3 linked regions of the Arabidopsis thaliana genome follow. The protein of the gene in region 1 interacts with the protein of each later gene in a pairwise test. Each region holds a gene or a part of one and is shown on either strand. Other genes may lie near its edges.

Region 1 (8,693 bases):
AATACTAGTTTCCTCTCCTTGCGTCTCTTCTTCCTTTACTTATCTCTTGGTGTTCTTGTTGCTGCTCACAGCAAATTGTTCGCACTCGGGAAATTAGTCTCAAACTATGGCATCTTCTCATTGATTTCCACAACACAGTTGATATTTACCGCTGTTTTAACAGCCATCATTAACCGTTTCAAGTTTACTAGATGGATCATCATATCGATATTACTCACTATTGTGATTTACGTTCTCGGTACTCCTGACTTTGGAGGACAGCCTCATGACGGCGAAGAATTCGGATACAACATCCAAGCTTGGTTAGCTTTCTCTGCTACAATTGCTTTCTCATTATCTCTTTGCTTAATCCAACTCGGGTTCGAGAAACTCCAAGTGAAGACCAAGAGATATGGTAACGAGAAAGTGTTTAGAATGGTCTTAGAGATGCAAATATGTGTCGCTTTTGTCGCCTCGGTTGTTTGTCTCGTGGGCTTGTTTGCGAGTGACGAGTATAAGGAACTGAAAGGCGATAGCAAGAGGTTTAAGAAAGGGGAAACGTATTACGTTCTGAGTTTGGTCGGGTTGGCTTTGTCGTGGCAGGTTTGGGCGGTCGGGATGATAGGTTTGGTGCATTATGTTTCGGGTCTTTTTGGTGATGTTGTTCATATGTGTGCTTCACCATTTGTGGCTTTGTTTGTTGTCTTGGCATTTGATTTTATGGATGATGTGTTTAGTTGGCCTAGAATTGGTGCTTTGATAGGAACAGTTTTGGCGTTAGGATCTTACTTCTACACTCTGCACAAGAGAAACAAGAAGAAGATGGCGGAACTTAACCAAAGTGAGAACAATGTTGAAGTTTAGTTTCTCATGTCAAGTGTTTGTCAATCTGTTCTTGTTATTCTGATTCTTGTAAGTCAATGTCCAAAATATGTTGTATAGATATGGATCAAACTATGTAATTTATTTATTAGTTGGTTTAGTTTGATTTTTTTCTTTTCTCTGTTTTGCATTTATTTGTTACAATACTTTGCTAGAGGAGTGAATCCCTATATATTTCTCAAGTAGACTTGATTGTTAACATCTATGGGGCATCGAGACACCAATAAAGCCACATCCCACTTGATGATATAAGCTGCACCAAGCTCTTATGCCTTTAGGCTCGTACCTTTCCTATATAGAATGCAACGTAAACGTCTTCCCCAAGCAACTCAAATCCAGAGGCTGATGAGAAGAAGTCTTTTATATGCTTATTTGTTTTGTATATCTTCCATGGGTGATCATTCCTCTGCAAGTGGTTTATTACGTCGATGAAAGCCAGAAATATACCAATAGGCCATGCACATTTCGGTTACAGAAGTGGCACTCTTCATATTACTAGCTGGAGAAGAAAGGTTTTCGATAGAGCTTAACGGAAATGGTAAAGTATGGTATGAGATAGAGATAATGTTATCACATTTCTTGTCACTCCTCCAATATCCTTAATATAAAGAAAGTAGCTCTAGCCTAAACAAGATTCAGAGAAACCTAGGAACAAACATTTGGAAACAACTCTGCTCAGAACCAAACATCATCAAAGTACTACCATCGTCTAGCTTAAACACCTTAACCTCTACTTCCTTTTCATGGACAAAGTATATAGAATTCGGTACGCATCAATAGTACTCATGAGCCATAACCGAGAAACAAGTATCAGTCGCCATCACAACCGCACTATCTCTCAAGGACTTAACTTCAACCCACTTCCCTAATTCCTCATCAACCTTATAAACATTGAAACCAACCATTTTGGGACATTCTATTTCCACCTCTTGGTCCACATTGCATTTTTCATTCCCAAAATCGTCATGTATCACATTAGAAATCCGAGGAGCTACACCAACATAAACATTATCATCCAAGTCCAAGTAATCAGCTTTTCTTTTCAAGACATTCTCTTTAAAAAGACGATCAACAATATAAAGCTCTCCACAACATGCAACCAAGCTTAAGTCTCCACCACATTCATTAGTAAGTGAAGTTCCATACCTAACGATACTAATCCACCAAACAATGCCTTTCGTATCCAACACGTAAATTAGCTCTTTGAGAACAATAATATCAGAGAATTCACCAATCTGATCTTTGATTCTAGTCCAAATCTCTCCATTCCAAAACCTAATCTTCCCATCAAACCCTATTCCAAAAACTCGATCTCCTCCCGCAAGAACAACTTTCTTAAACCCAAAAGCAATGGACCATTTCGGTTTAACAATAGATGTGATTTGGTTTAGCTTATCAATTAATTTTTTTATTTTATTTTAAAATAAATATATATTTTAATTCTTTTATAAATCTCTGATTGGTTGGTTAATTAATTGTTTGTATTTCCCTTTTACGAATTTAAATAAAGTAGATGTTACAAAAGAAAATGAAAATCTCTGAAAAACTCTCCTGATTCAAAAGAGTAAGAAATCTACAAAAGAAAACCACAGAGAAAATCTCTACTGATCAGTTTCTCTCCATTGGTGATCGCTCGTCAGAAAAATTGAGCTCGATTTTGTATAAATTGAAGAAAAAGAAGAAGATCATCAAATGCGTGATTTTTACTTTTCCGTTCAAGGTAAATCGATCATCTTCGGCTTCAAGCCTGAAGATAGCGCTTCGAATTGGTTGAATTGTGTAATTTTGGAGGAAGTTAAGGTTCTTGCAGTAACAACTGCTTTACTGATTTTTCTGGTTTTTTTTGTAATTGTAGAAACTGAGTTTAAGGACAAGCTTTGTCCCTTTTAGTGGAATTTAGATCTGGTTTTGTCGTAATTTCTTCTGGGTTTCAATTCTAGTCTTCTGTAGTAGTATCAGTGTTGTGTTATCACCCACTATTTCAAAGTTTCAATGAAATTTTAATACCAAGTTGTTGACTTTTCTGTGTTTCTATCTGATCATAATTAACTTCGGAAGAAATTATTGTGACCTCAGAAAATTAGGTAGCTGATTTGATTCTTTTGTTTTCTCAATTATTCTCTTGTTAATTTCATTGTTCACATAGAAATGGTTCATATTTTCTGCTAATATGTTTCCTCTTTCATTTCAATTCACCATATTTCTTCTTTGTAGTGATTGATCAAGGGAACATAAGCAGCTAGAGACCACACCACTCAGTTATTTCTATCTCATAGTGCTTGTGGATGTTCAAGCTATAAGAATGTGCTCGGTGGTTCTATGAATATATAGGTATTATGCGTTATGTTTGGTTTGTAGAATATATTCTGAGAAGGTGATAGGATGGTCGATTTGCTAACTTTATGTCACTTCTGAAAGTGAGTTTGCATGTTTCTCTTTTCTCTTAAATCTGCTTTAAGTGTTAAGATATTTTGTTTTGAATATATTTGGAAAAACCAGTGACTTTGGTATTCTGTTAGCATGTTCCAACGATCTAAATTCTGTGGGTATATACTCTGGTAATTGCTTATACTGTTTTTGCTTTATGAAAACGATTTTAATATTCTACTAGGAAGATTGGTGTTTTGATGGGATGGGACACCAAATTGCTAAGGTTTATGGTGTTATCAATTACTAGTACGTGTTATCTTCCGAACAACCACCACCATGGAATCTCATCTGGGAAATGGAGTAGGCAGTTCGAGATCTGCCAAAAATACAAAGAACACTTCTAGTTCAGTTGATTGGTTGAGCAGAGATATGCTTGAGATGAAGATAAGGGACAAGACAGAGGCTGATGAGGAGAGAGTAAGTTTTGCATCTCCTTTCTTAGGTCTTTATTTCTTTGTGAACTTCTTTAGCTTATCTTCCTTCTCATGCGCCCCTCTATTTGATGAAGTAGTTTACTTGAATTTGATGTTTTTGCCATGTTGCAGGACAGTGAACCAGATATCATTGATGGAGTTGGTGCAGAACCTGGCCATGTGATCACAACTACACTCCCTGGACGAAATGGTCAATCAAGACAGGTTAGATGGTCATAGAAACTGTGTGTCTAGATTGTTAGTGAGACGTACTGATTCTTATACAACTGTTTTTAATTTTGATTGACAGACAGTCAGTTACATAGCAGAACACGTAGTCGGGACTGGTTCATTCGGAATGGTTTTCCAAGTGAGTAAGATTGTCTATCTTGTTGTTTTACCATTGGTTAAGATTCCCAAACATTTTATGTCTCCTTGTGGTAGGCTAAATGCAGAGAAACTGGGGAGGTTGTTGCCATCAAAAAAGTTCTACAAGACAAGCGTTACAAGAACAGAGAATTACAAATTATGCAGATGCTAGACCATCCGAATGTTGTTTGTTTAAAGCATAGCTTCTATTCAAGAACAGAAAATGAAGAGGTTTATCTAAATCTTGTCCTTGAGTTTGTTCCCGAGACTGTCAATCGTACTGCCAGAAGCTACAGTAGAATGAACCAGCTGATGCCATTGATATATGTCAAACTCTACACTTACCAGGTGATTATTTCCTGTTTCTGATCTTTTTTTGTTTCTCTTTATGTAAGCGTCATAAGTAATCACTCAAAATTTAAGCTATATTCAGTTTCTTGATATGTGTCAGCTGGTTTCTTGTGGTTCATTCCATAATGGATGTTGGAGATTTCCTCTTGTTTTGCTAGATAGATTGTAAACCAGAAGGCAAAGTTCCTATCATTTCTGATACTATTGTACTTTTCCGTTAGAAGTTGGAACTATTGAACATAATTGATTGTCTCTATATAAAAGAAGTAGTGCTCAAACGTTTGTTGAACACTTAAGTGTGAATCGGGCCTGATAATTTGTTGGACATTCTCCAATGATTTTTGAGGATTTTATGTTAATGGCTACAGATTTGCAGGGGGCTTGCTTACCTTCATAATTGCTGTGGTCTTTGTCACCGTGATATAAAGCCCCAAAACCTGCTAGTAAGTTCCAATTTTTTCTCACTGAAAAGAAGTTGATGATAGATTTCACTTTCCTGTAAGCTACTTTTGTTTGAATTTTTTTTATATAGCAAGGTCTTTGTCACCACACATAAGGATTTTAAAGGCATTTGTGTACATAAATATCAGACAGTGTTCTTTAATTCTACAAATTTGATCATTATATAGTAATGACATGATGATATTTCGTTATTACATGCCTGGTGGGATTAAGCAATGAGGTTATGTATGCATCTCGCTAATGTTTATTTCAACCTCAGAGTGGTACTGGGCTTCTGTTCTGTAGTTAATTTCACTTGCTATTTGTTCAAGTAGGATGTTAAAATCTAACTTTTCGGAAAATAGTTTTGGTTTTTAGCTGGTCTGTTCGTTGGTTTAAATATTTAGAATCCTATTTTCTTGTGATTTCACAAGGATTGAACTTGTTCCATACTGTTTCAGCTGTTAGGCTCACCATACCTGCAATTGACTAGAATTTGTCATAAACAAATGTTGCCTTGTTTTTATTAAACAATCTTTTATTTTTTTCTTTACACCTATTGTGATGTGCAGGTGAATCCACACACACATCAGCTGAAAATTTGTGATTTTGGGAGTGCAAAAGTGTTGGTAAAGTTTATCAGCTATAGCTCTTAGTGGTTTAGTTTTCCTAGTCCATGCTTAGATTATGACGTGTCATGGTCCACAGGTGAAAGGAGAACCCAATATTTCTTACATTTGTTCAAGATACTATCGTGCCCCAGAGCTCATTTTTGGAGCCACCGAGTACACAACTGCAATAGACATATGGTCCACAGGTTGTGTGATGGCTGAACTGCTGCTTGGACAGGTTGGAGCACTATATTTGCATTAGCTATATGCTTGTTATTCTATTTCTTCACCCTCTTACTCATTTTTGCTCTCGCGGACTTGTTTTACAGCCTCTGTTTCCTGGCGAAAGTGGAGTCGATCAACTTGTTGAAATCATAAAGGTAGTATTTTTGCTATCAATTCTTTTAGGGTTAGTTGTATTTACAAAGAAAATGACATCTTTAGAGCTGGCACTGACTAATAGTTTCTCACTGCTGATTATATTTTTTTTATAAAACTTTACCACCATTTTTGTAGTAGGACTCGTACATTCTCTCTTCATGGTTTTTTAATTGTCATGCAGGTTTTGGGTACACCAACAAGGGAGGAGATCAAATGCATGAATCCAAACTACACAGAATTTAAATTTCCTCAGATAAAACCTCATCCTTGGCACAAGGTATACCGCTAGTAGTATCAATTATCACCTAATAGGGTTCTCTTAATCGATATATGACCAAGCTTGTCTCGGTTTAGTGAGGTTGATTGAAGTATATGTGATCAATTAACTTCATATTTCATTCCTCTGGCATATAGAGCGATGTGACAGCTTTGCCTTTGTATATAAGATTCTTATACAAACAAATAAATTGAACCTTTGCCAAAAGGAATTACTCATGCACACACTCGTGGGGGTTGAAAACAGTTAGGCTTCATGATCTTGGCTTTTTTGCTGGTTTAAGTTTCTATCTAGATGAAGTTTTATTCAGCATTTTATACAGCTGACATTCCAGAACTCTGTTACTCGTTATTCTTATCTTTTGTTTTGCTCCGTGCTAAAATTTCTCTTAAGTGATCATTTCCTTGGTTTTACTTCTATATAGTCATGTTCTTACAGCACAAGAATCATGTGTTTGTTACTTTCAGGTATTCCAGAAACGTCTGCCACCTGAAGCAGTAGATCTTCTTTGTAGGTTCTTCCAGTATTCTCCTAATTTGAGATGTACAGCGGTAAATTATTCATAGCTTTTCTCTGACTTTGTTACATATTCTACTTCCATATTTTTTTTGGGATCAGCATCAGAAGCTAACCCATTATAAGTATGTCTTATGATTTTCTGATAGGTGGAAGCTTGTATCCACCCTTTCTTTGATGAGCTAAGAGACCCAAATGCTCGTCTGCCAAACGGCCGGCCACTTCCTCCGCTATTCAATTTTAAACCACAAGGTAAGGTTCTGTTATTTGCTTCTTCTTTTTTCCGTGTTAAATTCTTTATAAGGGAAGAAAATTAGTATGTGTTATTGATAAGCGTGTGTCCTACAGAACTCTCTGGTATCCCTCCTGAAACTGTGGACCGACTTGTCCCAGAACATGCCCGTAAGCAGAACCACTTCATGGCATTACACTCGTAAGTCTCTTCCGTGTTTTCTGTACGACCTATCGGGTGTTCTCTTCTTTTCTCTAAGCTCTCTAGATCCCAGTCTTTGGGAAAAACCAGTAGAGCTCTCTCTCTGTAAACAGAAATCACTGGAAAAAGAAGCAATGACTTTTGTATTAAGGTGCTTGCGCATCCCTTGTCGTGAAGTGAGGATGCGTAAAATACAACACTACTTTGTTAGATATATGATATAGAGGAACATACTTACATTTGCAAGACTCCTGCCACAACACAATTTTCCAAAAAATTTGTGAACCTTAAAATGAATTGACAGTTTAGTTTATTTGTCCATGTTTACGAACTTGATTTGAACCATATTACTCGAATTACACCAAACCAATTTATCTTCGAGTTAATTTCAAATAAGGCATTTGTTTTACAAAATAAGGCTTAAATATTGAAGGCCCAATAAGACCATGTACACAAAAAGCCTTTTAAACTAGTTTCACCTCTCTCTCCCATTTTTAGGGTTTCGTCAGAGACAGAAGTGAGAGAGGAGGAAAAATGCCGGCGGGACACGGAGTGAGGGCGAGAACAAGAGATCTGTTCGCGAGACCATTCAGGAAGAAGGGTTATATTCCACTCTCCACTTACCTCAGAACCTTCAAGGTCGGCGATTACGTCGATGTCAAGGTTAATGGAGCTATCCACAAGGGTATGCCTCATAAGTTCTACCATGGTCGTACTGGTCGCATCTGGAATGTCACTAAACGTGCCGTTGGTGTTGAAGTCAACAAACAGGTTTGATTACTCAAAACTTTTAATCTGTTTGAAAGAGTTTTTTGTTGTTGAAATTAGGGTTTGAAATTGATTTTGATTCTTTCATTTGGGGTTTAATTCGTCTTTCTGTGAGCTATCTGTTTTGAATTCTGAGATGTTGGATTAGTGTTGGCTCGAAAGTTTCAAGCTTTTCTTATTGGGTCGTTCGTTTACTATTATTATATGTTTTGATGTTGTGAAAGCTTCTCTTTTCATTTCTTGTGTTTATGATTAGTGTAATCTGTTGGAGAGCTAAGTTGGTGTGTTGGGTTGGGTTTTAGATTGGGAACAGAATCATAAGGAAGAGGATACATGTGCGTGTGGAGCATGTGCAACAGTCAAGGTGTGCTGAGGAGTTTAAACTCAGAAAGAAACAGAACGATGTGCTTAAGGCTGATGCTAAAGCCAGAGGTGAGACTATCAGCACCAAGAGACAGCCTAAAGGTCCTAAACCGGGTTTCATGGTTGAAGGTATGACATTGGAGACTGTCACTCCCATTCCTTACGATGTTGTCAACGATCTCAAGGGTGGTTATTGAGTTGTTTCCATTTTATTATCATTCTCTACTCAGAATTTTTGCACTTGCTTTTTTAATTATGTTTTTGTATCAAACAAGACTGATTTATATACGATATGAGTTCAGATTTTGTTAGGAAAGATGGTTTATCCCAATCATTTACCTATTGCATTTGTATTTAAAAATCGTTTCTGCATTCTTCAGAAAAATGATACCTTGGGAAAAGTTGAGACACCTAATCTTTTTCAGTGTTAGCAATTTGAACCACAAAAAGAGAGAGCAATGGAAACAAAATCTTTGTAA
Region 2 (3,676 bases), on another chromosome or scaffold:
ATATTATAGTATAATGTATTAGATATCAGAACTCGCATATACGTGCAAAATATGAAAAAAAGTAATAGATTTTTAAAATATATATAATATTTTGTTATAAGTAAACTTTGTAATAGTATAGATATTATAAAGGTAAGAATAACAACCAAAATTCAATTGTGTTCGTGTATAATTATATTTTAAAATCTGGACTCACACGGGGAAATAACCCAAACTAAAACCAAATTTATATCCTATTTTACACCAGTAATCAAACTGTTATAATGTTTTGATTAGTTTAGAAAATTAAAACGTATATTTGACGTATATTTCTTGGAACGGAAAACCCATAATGTGATGTATCTATCATAAATTCTTCGTTCCATAACCCGTCTGTATATGTGAAATAAAAATACTACCAACGCCCATCACAAATAGAATTTGTGTCACAAAATACGTACATGCAGGGTTAATTTATTTTATATAGTGCTCATAACCCAAACTCATACCAGTTGGATATTTAATTTGATGTCCAGTTTGGTTTCAAATTTCTTTATATAGTGCTTCCGTTTCTTTTCATGTCGTTTGTGTCTCATAATTCCTATTTTCATTTCATTCCATTGAAAATACGTTCCAAAATTCTTATTTGCTTACCTTTAAATATCATGTTATATATGACTGAGTTTTGCGGATTAACATATAGGATGTTAAAGTTTACAAATATATCATAAATTAAAACACAAAAATACTCTTTCTTGATTTTTTTTCAAATTCAAAAATATGAATAGCATTATAACAAATAATTTTGTAAAAATTTATATTTTAACAAATGTAATAATGTTTATTTCCTTACCTACATGTTTAATATTCTTCTTTCCCTTGTTTAATCATAATTAATTGGATTTTTGGAATATAATTAAAATTTTGAAATACCCCTACAAAAGCAATTTATTTTGCTGGATAATTTGTTCTGAATGAAAAATGTATAATTAGTTTATATTATTTCAAAAGTTTGTGCACTAATATATTATAGATTTATTTGAAAAAAGATCCGGTTGAAAAATAGAAAAAAGAAAATCCAAAATATTTCAAAATTAGTATGTAAAATTTATTGTTTAGATATTTCTAAATGTAAGGCATAATGATAATTATTTTAAATTAATTATTTTAGTTTAATTCATAGTAAATATTAATATTTGTAACATCTTATCTCGTTTTTAAAAATTTTAAAATAAATTTTCGTTTTATATTTCAAAATACTTAACCCAAAATTCTAAATTGAATTTATTTATCTATCACAAATTATGATTTTTTTATTCATGATATCAAGCAAGTCTTATGATTTTTTAAAATTTTAAAATAAAACTTAACTTCCAAAATGTTAGTTTAATAATATTGTATAATTTGATATCAAATCTAAGTTTTTCAATTTTTATTGGTTAACAAATTTTAAGAAATATATTTTATTTTTTCGTCTATAATTAATAGGAAAGAGAAAGTGAGTTTAATTTTGGGAAACTAATAATTACTTAAAAGAATATTACCAATTTTTATATTTAAATATATTAATTTTGTGATTACTATTGTATTCTTAATAAATTTATTTAAAAACACTAACAATCAATGGCATTCTATGTAATATTTTACCCTTCATAAGGTTGTTTATTTTCAATGATTTCCAATTAATAGTATAGATGCATCTCGCAACTGGATTTTTTTTTTTTTTTTTTTGTAAAGGATCTTCATGAAATTTCATCAGATGAAAATTTTACGGTTCGCTTAATGAGAAACGGTTCGATCTTTATGTGTGCAAGGTTAGTAACATCTTACATTTTCATACATATTTTCATTTCGTCATATTATTTATATAAAACAAGAATACAAGATATATATTTTAAATGAAAGACCATTAGACGTTACATGTATTTTGTGTTATAAAAATTGACGTATTTTTGTAAGACCGAGTCACCAAAATGAGTTAGGTACAACCGTGCAAGATATCGCTTAATGGACTCAATTTCATAGAACATGCACATCTCCAATTATTTACGTTTTAGCTCAAATATTATGTTTTTTTTTTCCTAAGATTTGTTTTTTCTTTCCCTGGCAGATTTGATTAATCAAATAATGCATGTGTGTGTGAACACGTAAAAAAATCGTGTCCCAACTTGTTTATGGCCATGCAAAAATAACGAATCGAATTTTGTAAAAAATAGCACTTTCATAAAAGTATTTTGACACTTTAAGATCTAAACACGAAATAAGAGCGTACCTCCACTTAATATCTTGATGCACCATAATTTCATTAACGACTAGCCAAAGTTATAAACCACAAACTAAGTTCCAATATATAAACTAACTTCTAACAAAAAAGGGTTATCCAAATGTGTATATCTATAGTTCTTTATTTTCTTTTGACAAAATGTGGAAATATATAGTAACAAAACTAAATATATATTACATATTCGGACACCAAATAAAACTCGACATCTTTAAGAAATGTATATAAAGACGCATCAAACATATCCTCACGCATGCATGCATTACGTATAGAAGAACATACAAAACACTCTTTCTCCACATAACATACAAACTTTCCTCACTTCCGATCAAATTACGAAATGGAGGCGTCGTTCATTAGATCGCTACCGTCTGCCGGAAACTTCGCCAACCTATTGCCGACCGGGACCGCCCTCATATTCGAAACCCTACTACCGTCTTTCTCCAATGGCGGCGAGTGCAACAACAAACCCGTCAATAAACTCCTCACCATTACTCTCATCTCCTTTTGCGCCGCGGCTTGCTTCTTCTCCTCCTTCACCGACTCATATGTAGGCCAAGATGGCCGCATTTACTACGGAATTGCCACCTCTAACGGTCTCCACATCCTCAACGACTATCCAGACGAAGGTTATGATCCAGAGTCCGGCTTAACGGCTGATAAGAGAGAGAGATATAAGCTCAGTTTTGTAGATTTCGTGCATGCTTTCGTGTCGGTTATCGTGTTCTTAGCGTTAGCCGTAGAGAGCTCGGATTTTCGGAGGTGTTTGCTCCCGGAGGACGATGAAAACAGTTGGGGTGGTCATTTTGTACTTATGATCAAGTACTTTGCTGTTATGGTGTTGACAATGGCAAGCTTCTTCTTTGCTATCTTTCCCTCAAAACGGAGAGGCATCGGAATTTCAGACATTCGTTGATTCATAACATTTATTTGTGTATGTACATATATGTGCCTATGGTCTAAATATGTTGCTATGGTAATAATCTTTATACCCCAAATTCCATGATTGATCTTATCTTATTCAATTCATGATCTTTATAAACGAGTAATCATCTCACACGGTCTAAAAATAACAATAAGCAATGTAGGCTTTGCGGTCCTGTGGAAAGAATTGTAAAGAGCTTTGCCTAGTCTTATTGATCTTCATGATTAATACACAAATCTTTAACAAGCAAGAAGAGAAGAAGAAGGAATAAACCAGAAGAAAAACTGATCAAGATGGTTGTGAATGTTATCCATCTCAAATCAGATATATGCTGTCCAAGACTCCAAAACCAGCTGCAACGCCGCCTTCATCTGATGATGCGATCTTCGTGCGCATTAGATAACCACTCTGCTCGTTTACTATAACTTCGTCTTTGCTCCTACATATTTCATTTAATCAAAGATTATGGCACAAAATTAAGTTGAGAATTA
Region 3 (3,983 bases), on another chromosome or scaffold:
ATTGAGAATGAGATTTCAAATTTAGAGAAGTTGTTTCAAGGGCTTGGTTTAAAGATTTTGAATCATTCCCAGAACAAGTAAAGAAACAGAGATTTTCATTACTGTATCAAAATATAGATTCTACTCATATAATTTTGGAAATTTTTGTCATTTGTATTCTTGATAGGTAACAAGAATTCTAAGATTTGTCTTTAGTAATTTGCTCATAGGTCTATTGGAAGCCGTAATCCGTCATGAGCAAGCTGTACATGGATTCCTTCCCTAGAAATCAACATAGTCTCTATTAGCATTCAACGATGTTGATTTATAGAAATCTTATAACATTGTTTCATTGCATACCTTAGAGACCATTCTGCAAGTATCTCATTGTATTCATGGTGATCAAACTCGTGTGTCATACCCGTTAAAAGCGCTCTCTTTGGACATAGCCTCTTTAAGATCTCAAGAGCCTAAAGAATAGGAATATTGAAACTTACTCTCAAAAAGGTTTAGAGAAGTGAAGCATTCTTTGGGAAGAAAAAAAAGAGAACCATTGAAACAAACCTCTGTAAAACAGATGTGTGTGGGATGTGGTCCTCTCTATTATCAAAGAGATGGTCAGCAAGAAAGGTTATCAAGATCGAAAAAGCGGTAAACAAAAGTTATGAGATGATGTGAACCTTCCACGGTATATTTGTATCCAGGATAAGAAGATCTAACTGTCCAGCCCCAGCTTTGGAAATAGCTGCTTAATCAAAGATTCATAAGAATATCAATCTTTCTCTTTAGTAGAAGTGAACTACAGAGGTATAATGATTAGGGCATAACATAATGAGCTCTTACCATACTCGGTACTCGGTGGAATCCGTGATACGTCTGATATATAAGCCACTTTACTTTTATCGCCGAAGAGGAAACCTAAAGCAATGTAGTCCTCTCCATGCATCACCTAAAGCATAACTAACATTGTTGAGTCTATAAGGTCTCATGGAAGAATTAGACTGTTTTGATTTCTCAAAAGTGAAAAGAAATTTAACCGGAAGAGGCGTGAAAGATAAGCCCGAGGCAGCGAATGGTTCGTCACAATTCTCTTCGATGTTTTTCCAGTCAAGAAGTGAAACTCGTCTAGGTACTTCTTTTACCTTCTTTTCAACCAAATAAGGAAACCTTGTAGCAATACTGCACAATTTTTTGTTGCCTTAAAAGTCTCATCAAATGCTAATTTGAAAAGCTTTAAGCCAGAGTTGAGATAGAGAACACTAATCGAAGATGGTACCTCTCCATTGTAAATTGAGATAGAAAGACGGGAAGTGGATCGGTATCAACAATAGTTGCACCACGAGGTTGAAGAGATCGAATTTCATCTAAGCCATGAACCGCATCTGCGTGCTCATGAGTTAGAATGATCTACACAAAATCATACAAGCATTAGTCAGTAAAAGTTAGATTTCATTTCAGAGAAAAAAATAGATGCAAGAGATCAAGAAGATAAGTATATAAAGGGCTTAACGGAATCGACTCGAGGAATCTTATAAAAGGTAAACCAACGAAGGACTTGCTCTCTAAAACTCTTGCCAACATCAATAAGTATGTACTTATGTCTACCATCTTCTTCCTTGCTGCAATAATCAATCAAGAGCGATGTATTGCATCTGCCAAAAAACAGAGAATCAAGATTCAAGAATGTTCACCAAACCCTAATATATCTGAAATAATTTCCCAAGAACACTAGAAATCGGATGGTTCATTTTTACCTAAAATGGATTAAAACCTAAACTCCAACACGAATATAGACAACAGTAGATGTCTCTTTTTTCAATCAAAACTCCCAACTTCAAAAGGGTCTTTACGGAAAGCAACAAGATTTGACATTTCACAAATCTCCACAGCTTCAAAGACCAAAACCCAAAGAGAAGAAACTGATGACAAGATTTACCTGTAGTTAGGGTTAAGGTGAGGAAGTAAAGAGAGGGACTGAGAACAGACATGGCAAGGAGGATCTGACGGCTGGAGTAAGCATCTGAAATCGGGAACTGCACCGGAGCAGCCTGTTCCAAGAAAGATCAGAGCCGTTCCATCATCATCAGATTGATTCTTCTCCATCTTCTCAAGATTCTGATCTTCTGGTTGGTCTAGCCAAAGCTGATTAATGCCAACGGCTATATCTTTGTTTATTGTATTAGTTGAGATTATATGCGATCCCTTACACAAACTTGTCTTTTTCACAGTATATATATTCCTTTTATTAACATAAAATATCTAAGCCATTACTTTGAGTCTTTGACACTGATATATGTAGTCATAATGATATTGACTACTAATTTTTCCAAACAAAATAGTAAAAGATTAATGACTTACCCCACAAATCCACCGGATTGTGATTTTTTTTGTTATATATCATTGTTTGACTCCTCTAAATTAGAAAAAAATCTTCTACATTTCTTTTTCTGTATAACAAAATCTTAAATTTAAATCGTTATGGTAACGAAATCTTTTCTTTTGTTTTTCCAGTTTATTGATTAAATATACTTCCACAGAATTTAAATTTACTTAATTATTAAAAACAATGCAGTCACAATCTTTCCAATTACCATTTCATTATCTCACAAATTCGACCAAATGTTTTTCATATTTCACAAAAAAAAATATATTAAAGCGCGTGTGAACCATAACCACGCGATTGCCAGCTCAAAAACAAATTCACAAAGAAGCGTACACGACACGCGCTACGACTGAGTGTAAGGATTCTCATAAACTGCTCTATTTTATTTTGCTCAGTCGCAGACAAATCTCAAAACAGATTCGATCGATAAGCAAGAACTTCCAATCTCTAATGGCAGATCAAACAGAATCTCCAAGATCGTATCATATCTTCATCACAATCATGAGTAAAAGACGGACATGGGTTTGTCTCTTCATCGCTGTCTACGCAATTCTCGTATCTTCTTCATGGAACCTCCTGAGATCAGTTCTTAACTGGTACAAGCTTCAATACACGTCATCAAATTCAGATTATTCTCCTTCAAGATTACCGGCGGTATACGCGTCGGTGGTGCTCGGTGCGATGTTTGGAGCTATGTCGATGGTGGCTGCTATGACGGTGGCGGTTCCGGCGGTGATGGTGATTTGGATATCGGTGGTGGTGTTGCTTGCCTTCTTTGGGAAATCAAGAAGAGTTTTAGTGGTTGAAGGAAGGAAGATTACGAGAGAAGTTGTCGGATTTGTGTTTAAGGTTCTTTTGAAAGAAGGCAATGTTGTTGCTGCTTTTTGTGCTGTTTTAGCTTATTTTCTGCTTATTAGAAGAGATTTTGACTCATATTAAGGTTCTTGATTTTTAGATTATTTAGGGAATTTTGATCTAGATTATCTTGAGTCACTCCCGAATGTAAATGTAAAGTTAATTTAGAAAATCAATTGTTAGTAGTAGAATGAAGAAGTTCATGATGCATTGGCTCAATTTTTTTTGTTTGTGGTTAGATAATTTTTCTTGATGACAGCATTTAGTATCTAGAATGGATCGTCCCACAACTTCTCATTTGAGATATTGAAAATCATGATTTGTTATCCGTTTGTGGGTTCATTGCCACACAATTTCAACACATGGACCAATAACCAAGTGATTTACATATCCTATTAAGTTTGTTATCAGTTTTCACTATTTAAGTTACCCGGTTATTATTTTAGTAGCTTAAAACTACATCAACTAGTTGAAGAGGCATGTTTTGCGAAGATAAGATCATATAATAATGGGTTACACAACTTCTTTCTTACTCAAATTCCTTCTTGAGGAAGGTGTAACATTCCAACATTGAAGTAGTGGATTTCACACACTGATACTTATTTTTATAAGTACCTTTCTTGATAAAAAGAATTCTAATACCTCAACTAAAAACTCTAATTTGGGGAAAAAAATTAATGTCTGCAAACCTTTTATAACAAAAAATTCTAAGAACTCTAAAATCATGAAAATGCGTGAATCTTTTTGTCTTTGGAACATATATTGT

The links. Proteins that work in one complex are often made in the same cells at the same time.
Region 2: the proteins of SK42 (region 1) and AT5G27370 interact in a protein complementation assay, tested with the Arabidopsis thaliana proteins (one large-scale study listed by BioGRID).
Region 3: the proteins of SK42 (region 1) and AT4G03600 interact in a protein complementation assay, tested with the Arabidopsis thaliana proteins (one large-scale study listed by BioGRID).

The regions. Positions count from the first base shown.
Region 1 is NC_003070.9:21,429,752-21,438,444, reverse strand, and holds SK42 (shaggy-like kinase 42), read left to right. Parts: upstream 1-2,341; 5' UTR 2,342-2,568; coding exon of another isoform or gene 2,569-2,608; exon of another isoform or gene 2,609-2,932; coding exon of another isoform or gene 2,933-3,018; exon of another isoform or gene 3,019-3,075; 5' UTR 3,076-3,192; intron 3,193-3,472; exon of another isoform or gene 3,473-3,476; 5' UTR 3,477-3,567; coding exon 3,568-3,708; intron 3,709-3,836; coding exon 3,837-3,929; intron 3,930-4,014; coding exon 4,015-4,074; intron 4,075-4,148; coding exon 4,149-4,421; intron 4,422-4,792; coding exon 4,793-4,867; intron 4,868-5,437; coding exon 5,438-5,494; intron 5,495-5,573; coding exon 5,574-5,714; intron 5,715-5,805; coding exon 5,806-5,856; intron 5,857-6,038; coding exon 6,039-6,134; intron 6,135-6,601; coding exon 6,602-6,685; intron 6,686-6,799; coding exon 6,800-6,902; intron 6,903-6,998; coding exon 6,999-7,083; coding exon of another isoform or gene 7,084-7,087; exon of another isoform or gene 7,088-7,234; coding exon 7,235-7,307; 3' UTR 7,308-7,394; downstream 7,395-8,693. Other genes in the region: PUP17 (purine permease 17), read left to right, coding at 1-843; AT1G57906 (F-box protein), read right to left, coding at 1,635-2,195, 2,569-2,608, 2,933-3,018; AT1G57860 (Translation protein SH3-like family protein), read left to right, coding at 7,618-7,854, 8,154-8,411. UniProt on the Arabidopsis thaliana protein: May mediate extracellular signals to regulate transcription in differentiating cells.
Region 2 is NC_003076.8:9,664,711-9,668,386, forward strand, and holds AT5G27370 (inactive Serine/Threonine-kinase, putative (DUF679)), read left to right. Parts: upstream 1-2,600; coding exon 2,601-3,176; downstream 3,177-3,676. Other genes in the region: GSH2 (glutathione synthetase 2), read right to left, coding at 3,501-3,624. UniProt on the Arabidopsis thaliana protein: Involved in membrane remodeling.
Region 3 is NC_003075.7:1,603,138-1,607,120, reverse strand, and holds AT4G03600 (pyrroline-5-carboxylate reductase), read left to right. Parts: upstream 1-2,492; 5' UTR 2,493-2,812; coding exon 2,813-3,301; 3' UTR 3,302-3,483; downstream 3,484-3,983. Other genes in the region: AT4G03620 (myosin heavy chain-like protein), read left to right, coding at 1-81; AT4G03610 (Metallo-hydrolase/oxidoreductase superfamily protein), read right to left, coding at 204-261, 340-449, 544-579, 660-724, 823-928, 1,017-1,158, 1,256-1,386, 1,490-1,631 and 1 more.